2 linked regions of the Lytechinus pictus genome follow. The main gene of each other region encodes a partner of the protein of the gene in region 2 in a complex. Links are inferred from orthologs where the notes say so. Each region holds a gene or a part of one and is shown on either strand. Other genes may lie near its edges.

Region 1 (7,380 bases), on a different chromosome or scaffold from region 2:
GTAGTGGCTGCAGAATTAATATTTCAGAAGTTTGTTTTATTCATTTTTAATTAATGTTTTTCTTTATCTTTTTCGGGCCACCAAACTTTAATATCGGGCCACCAAAACCTTCAAATAATTTTTTTGGGGCCACCACCAAAAAAAGTTAATGTGGAGCCTTGGCATAATTTATTTTTCCCCTTTTATTTGGAGTGCTATTGCGACCCCATTCAACCCCATTTTGGAGAGCATATGTCCGCCTAGTATTACACGGGGTAAACTTAAGGCGCCGGGTGCGCTCGCGCAGATGTGATGGTCGGACATCGCTCTGCGGCCACTTTTCACCAAAATTGCAGCTCATTGTAGCAGATCAATGCCGCCGGAACGGCGTTACAAAATATATGCGAAGCTTTGGAATGGATTTCTTTTTTTTCTCGACAAGAAAATGCTATGCTTTGGAGCGGCTTTCTTTGTTCTTTTTCTCAATAAATAAGATAAAATTGCTATGCCTGGCTTGGTTGGAATTAAAATTTGAGTGTAAAAATGGGGGTCCCTTCCGCAGCACACACCCACCATACATACTGAGTGCCCCCCCCCCCCAACATACACCACCTGTCTCTCTCTCATCATTGTGAGACCTTAAGTTTAGTTCTAAAATATTTGTTACAGAGGTAGAATAGATCTCGACTATAGCACAAGTTTGCCTCCATGTATTATTGTGTAGGCCTACTCATGAAATTAGGTAACCCAGGGAGCTCCGGCGCGCTTCGCGGGCCGGAGCCCAGGAGTCGACCATAACGAGGGAGACATGGGACTGGGGTAGATTGGGGTCTCAATAGTAATCTTAATAAAATGTGGAAACAGGAATTATGCACTTGCCACGATTATATGGATGAAGGTGTATCGTTACACAATCCTGACATCGAGGCACAGACTGGAACCTCAAAAATCAAAATATAGCGTCGGTCAGTAGAGGCACACGGCTAATATGGGAGACTGTCTCCCATGAGAGAGATTATCTCCAATATCAGACTTATGTAAAGAATTTGGGTATCCAATTTCAGAGACAGTCTCCAGTTTGGGAAACCAATTTCCTTTGTTTACATTTGCTGCAAAAGGATTAGCTAGGCGGCAAATGAAAATGTGATAAGCAGATTCCTCATGAAAAATTACCCCTTTTCACCGTCTACTTTAAAAATTCACCTGTCTACTTTTGTTTTGATAAGGATTTTTGTTGTCATCCACACACAAAACAAATGGGCTTCTGACCCAGTGAGACAAAATTTTGAGTGGAAAAATTACACTTTTGTTGGTGTTGTTTCTTTTGCAAAGTAAGTCTCCAATATGGGAGACAATCTCCCATATTGGCCGTGCGCCTCTACTCTTGATCGGCTATTTTGTTTTGAATTTTGAAAGGAGAGATATCGCGACATAGACAGATGGCAACCGTCAGTTTCGAGGAGTTTTTTAACATTTTTTATTTTTCCTCGTACACAGACGGCTCGCTATCGTGCAGCCATCATTAGGCCAGGGGGTTAACAATGCAAAATCCCCCTGACGGGGCTCGTCAATTTTTGTCTTTATTTCATAAAAATATTCCAAAAGAAATGTACCAAAATGAAGTTTATTATTCCGTTTTGGCCTGAAATGCACCAAAACGGGAAAATATAAACTTAAAAGGGGACAAAACAGTGACTTACTAATTACTTCGAATGTCCCACAACTTCACTTCTCTGTTTTATCCGATTTTAATACATAAACATATGGCCATTGAGTCCCTGTACAGATCGAGCTAGAACTTCTGTCTCTGTATTTGGCGAGTGGAGCCAACGGAGTTCAGCGGAACAACCAACATACAGAGACCGAAGCTTTAAGTTTGGTCTATCGCGACAGAACTTTTCGTTTTTTTGAGGTTCCAGTCTGTGCCTCGATGTCAGGATTTGTGTCACGATAGACCTTCATCCATGTCGATATAAATCGTGATTTAGTGCATAATTTCTGTTTCCACATTTTATTAAGATTACTATTGAGACCCCAATCTACCCCATTGGGTGATTTCAAGTTCGGCGTTCGTGTTGAGCCGCTGAACCGAGCTGGGTTCAGAGGAATGATACCGATTGCGTTTTCGATAGCACATGTCACGCCCCTGCGCAATCATCTCAACTTCAAGCGAGAAGTCTCGACGACGAAAATGAAATCGGAGAGAAATGCATTAAATTCTCATCGTACAGAATACCAATGTTTTAATTGATTCAAGAATTCGAAAGAGTAAACATTATTCTTCATCAAAATATAAACAGCTCAAATGATTTGTACTCATCTTATTTAGTTATTAGGCCCTAACTGTAAAAGCTAATTTTACGGGGATGTTTCATCGTGTTCGCCGCCTGTTCACGAGCTAGAGATTGCCAACACCAAAACCAACACCGAACTTGAAATCATGATTTTCCCAATCCCTGGGGGTTGGTGTTGGTGAATGGGGAAATTGCACGTCGTAGATCGTCAACACCAGCCGCAGTGCCGGGTTCAGCAGACGACATTCAACACCAGCAGGCAGCACTCAACACGAACTGCCGGAAATACGTCATATTTTCCGAGGTCAATCCCAACACCAGCCTGATTTCAAGTACGGACGGTGTTGTGGCTGGTGTTGTCACGACACCAACACCAGATTTCAACACCGTATGGTTGGAACTACCCCTTATCGACCACCTAATCTTCTAAGCATCATATCTGCGAAAATATTCATCAATTTTACCCAGTTTTCGTCTCATTAGTGCAGAAAATTGAGCAGATCAGATTCCCATGTTTCGCTCGGCGACTCCGATTCAATCCGCGTATATATCGACGAACAACGAATACGACGATTTTACATTTGCTCATTTGCACCAGTCTTTTGAAACCGACCACCCGCGGTACATTAAGTTTACGACCGATTCTTGTCGCGGTGGCGAAATATTTTTACTCTTCCAAATCAGTTCTATGTCAACATGCTAAATGATCGTCTCACTACTTCCACTGCGAGCTCCGGCACATGATTCGACGATTGACGACGGATATTTGTTCTAGAGCCGTTTCCTATCGGATTTCTTGGTTTTTCAGCGGGTTTTGGGTTTGGTCAATACAATTTTGATTAATTCTACTAAATTTTTACTTCTTGTTGCTTCTTTTTTTCTCGTAAAATCGATTCTTACCGTTTCTATGGACACTGCGCCTACTCTCCCGCGCGTATCGTTTGTAATACGCAATAATTTTAACGCGCGCAAGGTGGTCGGTTTCAAAAGAGGTGGTCGATATGTGGTAGTCTCACCATACTTGAAATCACCCATTGACATTGTCTCCCTCGTTTTACACTGTCGACTCCCGAGTCCTGGGGGCCGTTTCATGAAAGGACTTGTCGGACGCTTAATCCGACAAGTCCCATTTTATCCGACAGTTACCATAGGGACAGTGCCTCTCTGCCAATCAAAATCATGGAAAGATGTCAGATCTGACAACTTGTAGGATGAAAATATTGATGAACAGTAGAGGCGCTGGTCCAAAAATTGGGATTGACCCAGAAAACAAGGATATCCTCATAAACCAAGACAAATCATGTCTATTGTCTTGATAAATTGAGACTGTCCTTGTTTATGGGGACGTTTTTTTTTCACTTCCCCCTACGGGACAAAGACAGCAATTACGGGAATTGAGAGTGCTAAAAATAGATTCAGTGACCTCAATTCCCCCCAGTTCACCTTCTATTTTTCATGACTTAGGCCTAGGCCTACTACCTTCTTCCAATAATCTTGTTTTGAAACCTGATATGTTTACATTGACTAGCACACTTGATTGATGTCGGCACTTGACAGGTGAATGAACTTTCCTAGATTTCTTGTGTGAAGAAATCCTTATAAACTGAGACAGTCCCTGTAAACTGGGACGATCCCAATTTTCTGACCAGCGCCTCTAGCCTACTGATGAAACGCTCCCCTGGGCTCCGGCACGCAAAGTGGGCCGGAACTCCCTGGCCCTGGGAGCTTGGACTTGGTTAGAAATTAGGTTGTTCCTAATGACTTGTAGGCCTATAATATATCTTCCACCTGGTAGAAGGCAAAATTTGGCTAACAATCTCTTAATTCGTTGAACTTCGTTCGTTAAAAACGGATACAACATAATTTGGACAGAAGGATACAAGTTTATCGCTATGTATGAGAAGTAACTTTGCAACAAATCTCGGCGCTACCTCGCATTTAAAAGTGAAAAATGTATTTTATCGTAAATACAAATAAACGCACACACAATACAATTAATGCAGTAGTAAAAACGGAATCAACAAAGACAATTCAATGAGAGGATGGGTTAATAAAGCTGAGATTTAACATGATATAATTTAGATGTAGGGTCGTTTCGTTACCATCTTGATTCGGGTGCGGAGCAAAAAGGGAGATGCCGAGTTTTATTGCTTCCAGTTCAAAGATCCCTGATTGGACAAATCTACGAGAAACTCAATGATTCGACCAATGGCCAATGCCGTCTCTTTAGTGTCCGTCGAGTGAGAAGGATGCAAGATGGCAGCCACCAGTGCCAGAAAGTCTACCAATCCTTTTGATGATGTTGACGAGCCTGAAAATCCATTTTGGGATGAACATGTTCCAGGCAATCCAGAGGTCTATTAATTTTTTTTTACTCATTGAATAAAGTGTAAAACTTATCTTTGAATGATGCTCTGTTAATTTAGCTCATTATTTGTGTGGTGAAGGACTTTGGGAAGCATAGGACTACACGTTCCCACCTGTCCATATTCATGTCATGTTTTTATACCGCATCTACTGGAAAAATACAGTTGTGTCTACATTATAGCCAGGCGGCTTCTAGAGAGTAAAAATCATTTACTAACGTAAGGTTACTCTCATACGAAGCCAGGGCTTCTATCTCATAGTAGGGTGTCTGGACTGAAGCCACACTGAAAAGTGTCAGCATAAAACAGGCTGATTTAGGGGGAAATATGGCCAATTTTTTCTGGAAATTCAGGCTGCTATCAGTAGTCTGGATAGAGGCGCACGGCCAATATGGGAGACTCTCTCCAATAGGGGAGACAATCTCCCACATTGGAGACTTGCTTTTCAAAAGGACAAAAGAAACAACACCAACAAAAGTCAAAAGCATTATTTTTTCCACCCAAAATTTTGTCTCACTGTGGTCAGAAGTAGTCTTGAGGACTCCATGATGATGTCTTTTAAAACAAATTTGACATATACTTCTCCATCATGGAGTCTTGAATCCCTTCCCATACATGCATAAGAGAATCTTGTAAACACAGATGGATTTCCCCAGGAAATCCATCTTTTTTATTAAAAATCGATAAAATTAGCAGGATTTTATTATTCTCTACACCTTCCTACGCCTAATGCATGAGAAGGTTTAAAAAAATATTGAATAAAAATACGTAAAAATAAAGGTTTCTTACCAGACCGATGTCGTGTAGATCCTTCGCTCCACATGTACACAGCGCAAATACAATGGCGACGACCCTTGAACCGCTTATGTATGACGTACATGTACGTAGGTAAACACAGAGAGAAATAGTGCGCATGCGTAGCTTATTGTGCTAGTACAAGATTCCCGGCCGACGTCGTGCAGAGGTCAAACATTCTTATGTTAATGACGAGTTTAGCGCTCCTAATCTTGTACTAGCACAATAAGCTACGCATGCGCACTATTTCTCTCTGTGTTTACCTACGTACATGTACGTCATACATAAGCGGTTCAAGGGTCGTCGCCATTGTATTTGCGCTGTGTACATGTGGAGCGAAGGATCTACACGACATCGGTCTGGTAAGAAACCTTTATTTTTACGTATTTTTATTCAATATTTTTTTAAACCTTCTTATGCATTAGGCGTAGGAAGGTGTAGGGAATAATAAAATCCTGCTAATTTTATCGATTTTTAATAAAAAAGATGGGGAAATCCATCTGTGTTTACAAGATTCTCTTATGCATGTATGGGAAGGGATTCAAGACTCCATGATGGAGAAGTATATGTCAAATTTGTTTTAAAAGACATCATCATGGAGTCCTCAAGACTAGGTCAGAAGCCCATTTGTTTTGTGTGTGATTGACAACAAAAATCCTTATCAAAACAAAAGTAGACGGTGAATTTTTAAAGTAGACGGTGAAAAGGGGTAATTTTTCATGAGGAATCTGCTTATCACATTTTTATTTGCCGCCAAGGTAATCCTTTTGCAGCAAATGTAAACAAAGGAAATTGGTCTCCAAAACTGGAGACTGTCTCTGAAATTGGATACCCAAATTCTTTACAAAAGTCTCTGATATTGGAGATAATCTCCCACATTGGAGACAGTCTCCAATATTGGCCGTGCACCTCTACTGGCTATAATTTTATAAAAATGTGATCTGAATTAATTATTAACTTGTGTTTGGCATGTATGGAAAGAGAAAATTCAGGGGCTTCTTTTGACAGTAAGGACAAGTTTATAGGATTATTTGAAATGAAGATTTAGAGATAAATTGCAAACCCTTATTTGTGTGTGTGTTGAGATTGCCATTTCCCCATGCGTTTTCTATGGGAAAATGAAATTTCTGTTTTGCACAAATTTTTTCACTTTGTCGCAATTTTTCATTGTGATCTGGTTTCCAAATCTTTATAAAAATCATACCATCAGAAAGAGCATAAAAATTCCTATTTGACACTTAATGGACAAGTTTTTGGCATTAATAATAAATCTATTTAAAACAGCTCTCGGAAGCTAAAAATTTGGATTTGTGTGTGTCCATTTCTTAACTACACAGTCTGTGGCAGGGAAATGCTGAAAATTGACCTAATTTCATTCTTCTTTTTTGCAGCCAATAATTGGATTTTTGAAAAAAATGTTATATTTCTGTCAGTCTGAAGATTATTTCTCTTCAAATTCACAAAGAAAATGTGATATTTTCTTGGAATAAGAAAAATAGTTTTTTTCTCCAGACACCCTACTCATAGACCCACACAAAGGAAGCCAAAACCTGAAACTTTCACCCCCGAGATTTCTACTTTCCTTCTAAAAGATCTAGACCTAGTAAATCATGTACATGGGATAAAACTTAATTTCCGACATTTCTACGCTCTCGTTATTTTTGAAGAAGAATTCATAAAAAAAATGAGAAAAATATCATGAATAGACGGAAGAGACTTGCCCGATGTTTACGCCGTCATCTTGTGTGGAGTGGTACTAAACCCAATGAAGTTAGTAAACGTAAAGCTGACGTCCATGACATAACAATTAAGATATCGTTGTACTTGTTTAGGGGGTCAATTCAGGAAATACCAAGGGTACCATTTTGTTTCCAGTACTTGTTAAGGGTAGGGTTTCACATGCCAATACTTGTTAAGGGGTGCATTTTCAGAACATGGAAAATACT
Region 2 (7,984 bases):
ACGAACAAAGAAAGGATACTCCTCTGCGCTGACGCCCATGATATAAATAGTTTTATTTTTTTAATTAATTGTACCCGTTTTGGGAGTGAAGACCCCCCCCCCCCCATTTAATGCAAACGAGAATTGAATTGTTGACAAAGTGAACCTCCTTCTAAATACAGCTTTCCTCATATACCCCTTCTTATTTCACTCTTATTTCCAGAACATTATGCTTTATCCTTCCTTATTTCGAACAGCTAAAATCTATCTGCATCAGTCTTTAATTTATCATGCCTACAATATTTGATATGTTCAGTGCCGGACCCAGGTGGGGTGGAAACTATCCTGTGCCCCCCCCCCCCCCTTGTAAGCCTTGAAAAGTTTTTTTTCGTGGAAACAGCCGTGCAAGTCAAGACCCTTTTTTCAGATTTTCAAAAATTTTCTCCCCTTTCCACTTTTAGAATCCCTGGATACTTTATTGCATTTTGCATAATCATTATTATTAACTCTTTGCGCGCTGATGTTGCAATTTTGCACATTCGTACAAATAAATTGAACAATGGTAATAATTAGTTTTCTCATTGACATACATATTAGAAAAGCTTATAAATTACAATAGTTCTTGGATAACATCTATATAATAATCATAAGTATCAGTGATACAATGCAGAAGTCTTCATTCAAATAAAATAGCATTGAAACAGTTGTCATTATTAACCCCCAAAATCAATTCAGCATGTGAAGAGTTAAGTTCAGACTGAAATACTGCTAAAAGGAGCGAAATACAAACACATAAAGAAACAGACAAAAAAAAACAGTAAGACATCTTTACTTTTTTTCAATTTGCATTTTGACTACATACTTTTTTCATCTTGAACTATGACCTATAGTGTGTGCATACACTCAACATCTATAGACTGATATACACACCCAAATACTGTGCCGAATTTCTCTTGACATTTCAAAAAGAATCCAGGAACACTCTAAACAAAATCGAAAGAAAAAAACAACGAGATAAATATCATTTCTGGCGCATTATGTTCATTATTTATAAAAATAACTATTTGTCACATAAATGAGGTGAAAGGTTAAAAATGTCAAAAAATAAATAAAAGAGAATGTAAAAAAACATCTGTCATTGGTGTCTGTTATATGAACAACCACAAAATCCCAAATATATAGTAATCATTTTTTTACAATGTGCATAATGACGTGTGTGCTATATATTTTTTTCTAAATATGTCTATATACCTGCATGATTTGAAGAGCGTTGCCGAACAAAGGATTTGCAGAAGGACTTTTGATCCCACGTCGTTTGAAGTAGGTCAGTCTCCATATCTCACGTCTGAAGGAAAACAAATGTACACATTGAATTAGATGATGAAGAATCATATCCTAGCAAGAGGAGACAGAATATGTAAGCCCTAAATGACTTTTCATACGAAAGAAATCGTAGATATACTGTATTATGTCTGAGTGAGTTGATTCAATTGATTAACTGACGCAACAACGCAGTCTTTGACACATTATCATTTTAATGATCATTTTGATATATAGGCTAGCTACCCTAATTATATGATTTCAATAAATGTTATTGTGGTCGTAATCGTTATGTCTATGAGGCAACAACGATGATTATAACTTTAAAATTTACTTGTTAATATCATAGAAGAACAGACCTATTGACAACATTGCAAGTTGAAAATTATGTTCCAAGGACAAGCTACAGTGCTGCCTTTCAGTCCAACAGATCTCGCAGTGGGCATGCAAGTAGTGAAATTGCCCTCTTTCAATTTTACCCTTGCGTCTTCTCCGGTTGAAGTATCTCCTACTATACCCCCACCCTAGCTCCCTACTCATTTTTAGCACCCTAAAGTGGTACAATTGACAAGTGCCCCCCCCCCCACCCTACATACATTACTGCTGCATGCATCCTGCTGGATCATTCGTTTCTAGGTACAGCATGGTATTCACAAAGAAGAAAATAATGAATTTATCTGGTTAATAACCTTCTATACGTAAGCCTACTGGTCCATACATGATTCTACCAATAATATTACAAACTCATACTTACCCAATAAGGATAGCGATCAGGCTACCAACTAAGGGCCACGAAACCGTGTATCCCCTAACAGAGAAAAGGGTCATCGTCACATACGTGATACTGAATTAAGAGAGAGAGAGAGAAATCAGAATGCAATTCAGGTAGCTTCACCGACTTGAGATATTGGGCATCCAAATCAAAATTCAACCTGAACTAGAGCACAGTGTTGAGTTTAGATGCATGATAGGTCTGACTATATGCGTGTCTCTAGCCTCTCAATCTCACCGCTACGCACAACGCTTTCAAGAAAATAGAAAATAATATGGGCCTATATTGTCAAATGCCCTCCGGGTACTTAGCAACTGTCTAAAGATGCTGGAGAATCAAAACAGCAGTTTTGTTCTGGACTCTGGACAAACGACATATATAGTGCAATATTCGTCAGCTCCGGAACTTAGGACGAATCTGCTGTTCCGCTTCACTAATTTTCGACAAATACCTCCCAGCTGTTAATTGTCATTTGACCGGCATTTTCAGTACACTTACCGCTTACTATGTTCTCGAATTCGTTCGGCGTGGCTGTGCGAAAACTTGCTTTAATCAGATTATGGAGTATGAAAGTTCAACAAGCGTGAATGAGTATGAACAATTTCATATTTGGTAAAATGGACTTTGAACATCGAAAGGTAGTTGAGCCGAACAAAAAAATGAGTGGTTTAAAATTAATGAGTATATGACAGTTATGAATTTAGATTGTGGCTTGTGTTTCTAGTTCTAGCAGTTTAAATTTGCATTGCGAATTCTTCCGCCGTCCTTCACAGGCATTTCGTTTGCTGTAACAGGCAATTCACTTAACTTGTATTTCTTCTCTCAGCCCTTTCCTGGCCCTTCTTGCATATTTGTATTGTACTTTTGTTAGAGGCGTGTTACAGTTTTTGCTATTAGGGAATTACGACATCTTCTGTTATTAAAAAATCTCTTATGTATTTTTATTCTATGACAAATTATTTTGTATAACTTATATTGAAAAAAATATATATTTCATGAAAATGGAAGAGAATAAATTTCTACTTGAATGAAAATGAGTGAAAAGAATATTTCGATTTTGCGATTATTTCTTAAGATGTTTTCCGTATAATCACACCTCCGAAATTTTAATAGGCCTACATGGATGGAAATTTATGCATTACTCCTCTTATGCCCGGCTGTTATGACCGTGTTTCATAATCATTCTAGCATAATATGATAGAGAACTATATCTCTATATCAATATAAGTTTGATATTCCTTATGACATTTTTTTTTTAATTTCGAGATAAACATTTTTTTTATCTGCGTTTATTTTCTCTAACGGTGTAACCATTCAATAAAAGTTAAGTCATAAGAGCAATTTGATGTAGAGGTTTTTTTTCCTCCATCCAATTTTCCTCTGAATAGAGTTTCACACTTGTGCACGTCAAAGAACATTGAGTATGTATCCATCCATGTTTTGTTTTTTTAATATATATCTGTAATTTTTTTTATATATATCTTTCTAAAATTCTCAGACAGATATAGGCCTAAGAATACGTTATTCAGTGTTACCCCCCCCCCCCCGTTTATTCGATTAAACTATTATATTTCAAAACAAACAGTATTTGTCAGGCTTCTGTGAGGTATATCAAGTTTTCGAAACTATCAAACATTATATTTATTTGTTCAAAATATTTTTTAAAAAAGAGACGCACTCTGTTGAAAAAAAAATGAAATTGAATAACATGTACATTAAGCAATTAAATTAACCCAGATTATATACGTGAATTATTGTGTTTTATGTATATGCAACTAACCGTTTTGGTTAGCTTGCCTCTTCCACGAACAATTTATCACGCGGGTTATTTACTCTGTCAATATGGAATGTGCTATTTGACGAAGACATCAATTAATTCTAAGAAACCTGTAGAACCTACTACAGGTTGAGGAGCGCACTCACATTCAACTAAAACAACAACAAACAAACAACAACGTCCTTTGTTCTTTCCTTATTCAATTTATTTTATTATGTTGTCTCTTCATAATCTGTAAATCGGAAACGAAACTAGTTGAATGAAGCTTAAATGATAAATAAATAGATTGATGATATTGCTTAATTAATTAAATGTGTGTGTGTATTTGAGTTTTTGAGTAATTAATTAAATAATCAATAGATGAATAAATGACTGAAATTCTAGATAATGAATAATTAAATACATTAGTAGATAAATAGATCACAAAGAACATTTATTTTTCTATTTTGGGGGCAATTTTTATATAAGATATGAATGGTACAGATTTTTTAACAGACCAAACTATTATTATTAAATACAAATGCCAGGTTTTTGTGGAAAAAAAATTGCATCATATATGGATGAAGAATGCTCAAATTTTTATCTGAAACCCCAGATCGGCTGTCAATAGAAACTTAAAAAAGTGGTTGACTGCATGGGAACAGTTTGCCATGAAAAAACAAAATACTAAAATTAAGACTGTCCGTCAATGAGGCACTAGCATAGGCTTAAAGATCGTACCTTAAAGATCATTATGTGTGAGATGTATACGTTATTAGTATATATCTCTATGGTGTGATATATGATTTTTGCTTTGAAGGTAGAGTACAATCAAATTGATAATTCACATTTTACTGATTGGCAATAAAATCGACAATTTCAAACAAAATAAAGCGTATACAATTTTTGTTTAATCAATTTATAGTATTTTATTATATATATTTATTTACATAACATTTAATTCTAAAATTTATAATTAATAAAAAATAAATACATGAAATAGTATAACTCACATCAAACATGTTTTGCCAATTTGATATATCGTTACGATCTATTTGTGTATAAATTGTCATAGACAGCTGTTACGTGGACAGGTACGACGTTTTCTATGCCAGAGATACGCCTGTGAAAAATGATTTTAGTTTGCAGGAAACAATATTCCACCTTGTTTCATGGATCAGAATAGTTAGCCATCATTTTTTCATATAGTATCTGGAGTATTCTACACGAAAATGAGCTCCGGACGTCGCTCAATTCCTTCGTCCAGATCACATCCGTCATTCACTTCCACTGGCTACTCGCTGGGCCTGGGGTCTCACTCGTCCAGCAGCGATGGGGAGGCACCGGGGAGGCGAAAGGAGGCTACCGGCGCGAGAAACAGACGACAAGCGGGCCTGTCAACAACAGAGCAGAATTTACGGTCAAGCGTGAGAAATACTTCAAATAGTGAAATTGAGCAAGTGTGTGAAAGAATCAATGACAAATTATCAGTTAATGATGTAATGAGTAGATCATCTAGCGACCATTCCATATCAAATCTTCATGAAATCAAAGCGTCATATTCTGCACAGCAGCAGCAGACGCATGAACGTTTAAGGCAAGGAAATGAAAGAACTACAATGATGGCAAGAACAAGTAAAAATCCAAAGATTATACCTTGGCGGAAATGTGCATTATGCAGTATTGCATTTAGAACTCAAACAGATTTTCTCAAACATTTACGGGATAAACATTGTACCAAGGAGGGTGGTTCATTTGTTTGCCGTTATGGACTTCATGGTGTTTGCCCAACATTGCCTGTGGATGGAGTGAGTGATGTAGACTATGAATATCATGTTGCAAGGGACCATATGATGGATGAAGGTAAATCACATCACTTTGTAGGGAATAATTTTGCAAAACAACAATTTTTGCAAAATTAAGTCATAAAACTCTCTCAGCTACCTCTATGATCTGAAGTCCTTTTTTACTACAAATCTGACCAGGCATTTTTTGTGTAGCAGTCTTTAAAAAGAGAGGAGCAAATGGTGATGCAAAACCAGGAAAATTATTCCTTGTTCTTACTACTGATTTAGAGTGTAGTAGAGTATTCTGCAATGTGGCTTTACCCTTTTAAACTATGTACTGCATATTGTGTACATGCATTTGCCTTATTTATAAAGCCACTAGCGATTCATGCCAGCAGACTATTATTCATTGAGTCAGTCATGAGTGGTTTTCAAAGATCAAATCCTTGTGTAAGAAAAGTGAGGAATACTTATTTCAACCTGTAAAAAAAATTAGCAGGGATGCATGTGGTTGGGAAATTGGGATTTTCATCAATTGAATTATTTGAAACATTATTTACCTTTACTTGAGATTCTGGAAGAATGCTGATGATCCCAGCAGTCGTGCTTCCAGTTCAAGTCCTTCATCCTTCTCGTTAGTTAGGTATCTTCATAGCAGTCTTGCTTGGAAATCTACACCATCCTCGACATTAGTATGGTTTATACATCATAGGGTGAGCAGTACCACTGGTCTGCCCACACCTTGTCTAGCCTTATTTTTAACAATATAAATACAATAACATTTATGTATTATTTCACATTAAGATTATATTACTATTAATTGATTTTGCTTGATAGAACTTTTACAAATCTTGTAAAAGATGAAAGCATTAATTTCTACATTATTTATTTTTACTATTTACCGCCATTGCTAAAATATATCATTGTACATGTATGTTATTTACAAATTTACACTAACAATCAATAACTTTTCTCATTGTATTTTTAATAACACCTTCCAGCTTTAGCAAACAGGTTAAAATCTGCAGCTCATAGCGACGCCCCTTCTATGACAGTAGCTCCCTCAGTGGTCAGTGTTCAGCAAAAATGGACACCCCTGTCATCTGTGGTCAACTTACCTGCTGTCTTAAATGACCCTAGAAAGGTCAAAAGGGAAACAGATTTCTTCACGAAGACGTGGGGTGAAGGCTTCGTGGATCAGAGTGAAATTCCCTCCTCTCCGTATGTCCCTCGCATTTCAAGAATCCACTTTGAGAAATATCTCAGGCAGGTGGCATATGTAAGTATGCACTTATTTATATTTCTTACCAAAATATACAAAAATAAGTATAAGAGTAAGAATGATGTATATCTGCAAGAAAGCTGTTGGGTTCTTCAAGCTTAAAAATGATGGAGGTCGTCTAAACAGTTTTGAAAAAAAAAATTAAAAGAAATATGCATCAAATTCCTTGCATTTTATAGTATTGTTTGAAATTACTCGATATGAATATAATTTTTGATACACCATTCGTATAGATCTGTGTGTACAAGCCTGCTCAAATCTTTTATTGTATTTTAACAGGGTTTGATGTAAAGAAAATTATCTTTGTGCAAAGTGCCCTACCCAAAGCATCTCTTCATGTCACAGAGATTCTTCCGCTGAGAAACACCGTAATACAACAAACTTGAGACCGTGTAGCACAAAGCACAATGTCTTGAGGATAGAGGTCACTTTTGATATTTTAAGAGCTCTCTCATTGAATTAGGCAATGATACAATGATGCAGATTCTTTGATATTGGGTGGGAGAAAAAGTTGAGATTTACAGGCACATCTAGGGCCAACTACAATATATTCAAACTCAAGTGAGGTGGGGAGACTTTGTGAAGTACATGTGTTAACTCAAAGTGGGGATCTGCCACCAATAATATGATAGTTGGAATATCTGTTCTTGTCTAGATGTTAACTCTACTTTTTTTTTAATTATGGAACTGATATGCTTTGATCTCTTTGTATTGCTCTCTCTGTCTCTTGTAGAAACTACAGCAACATAGAAGACCATCCGCAGTCAGTACATCATCACAAAGCGATGATGATCAGAGCTCAAGTCTTGCCAGTGGAAATCGAGGTTAGAAAAAAAAAACATTTCCTCGAATTTTTGTTCCTTTATCATTGCATATCTCTGTATATTTGAGTATCTGAAAAACATTTTTGTTATAACATTCAGAAACAATAATATATTTCTAATTATTTCGAACAAAGTTCTCAACTCTGTTTTTTGTTTACAATATGCTCCACATATTAAGATTTGAATTTAGATGAAACTCAATATGTAATTCACTTTTTTTTTTTATATCTACCAATGCCACAGACATGGTCCAAATAATAAAAG

Evidence for each region.
Region 1: vacuolar protein sorting-associated protein 54-like (region 2) and vacuolar protein sorting-associated protein 52 homolog share a complex: the UniProt entries of both Caenorhabditis elegans proteins name them as parts of the golgi-associated retrograde protein (GARP) complex. The link is inferred for Lytechinus pictus from reciprocal best matches to the Caenorhabditis elegans genes vps-54 and vps-52.

Annotation. Positions count from the first base shown.
Region 1 is NC_087259.1:15,676,189-15,683,568, reverse strand, and holds the start of vacuolar protein sorting-associated protein 52 homolog, read left to right. Parts: upstream 1-4,309; 5' UTR 4,310-4,375; coding exon of another isoform or gene 4,376-4,378; 5' UTR 4,379-4,529; coding exon 4,530-4,628; intron 4,629-7,380. Other genes in the region: small ribosomal subunit protein uS13, read right to left, coding at 4,376-4,378. UniProt on the Caenorhabditis elegans protein: Acts as a component of the GARP complex that is involved in retrograde transport from early and late endosomes to the trans-Golgi network (TGN). The GARP complex facilitates tethering as well as SNARE complex assembly at the Golgi.
Region 2 is NC_087251.1:34,989,493-34,997,476, reverse strand, and holds the start of vacuolar protein sorting-associated protein 54-like, read left to right. Parts: upstream 1-4,873; 5' UTR 4,874-5,059; coding exon 5,060-5,690; intron 5,691-6,615; coding exon 6,616-6,893; intron 6,894-7,629; coding exon 7,630-7,720; intron 7,721-7,984. Other genes in the region: cytochrome P450 3A24-like, read right to left, coding at 910-962, 1,231-1,324, 2,054-2,127. UniProt on the Caenorhabditis elegans protein: Acts as a component of the GARP complex that is involved in retrograde transport from early and late endosomes to the trans-Golgi network (TGN). The GARP complex facilitates tethering as well as SNARE complex assembly at the Golgi.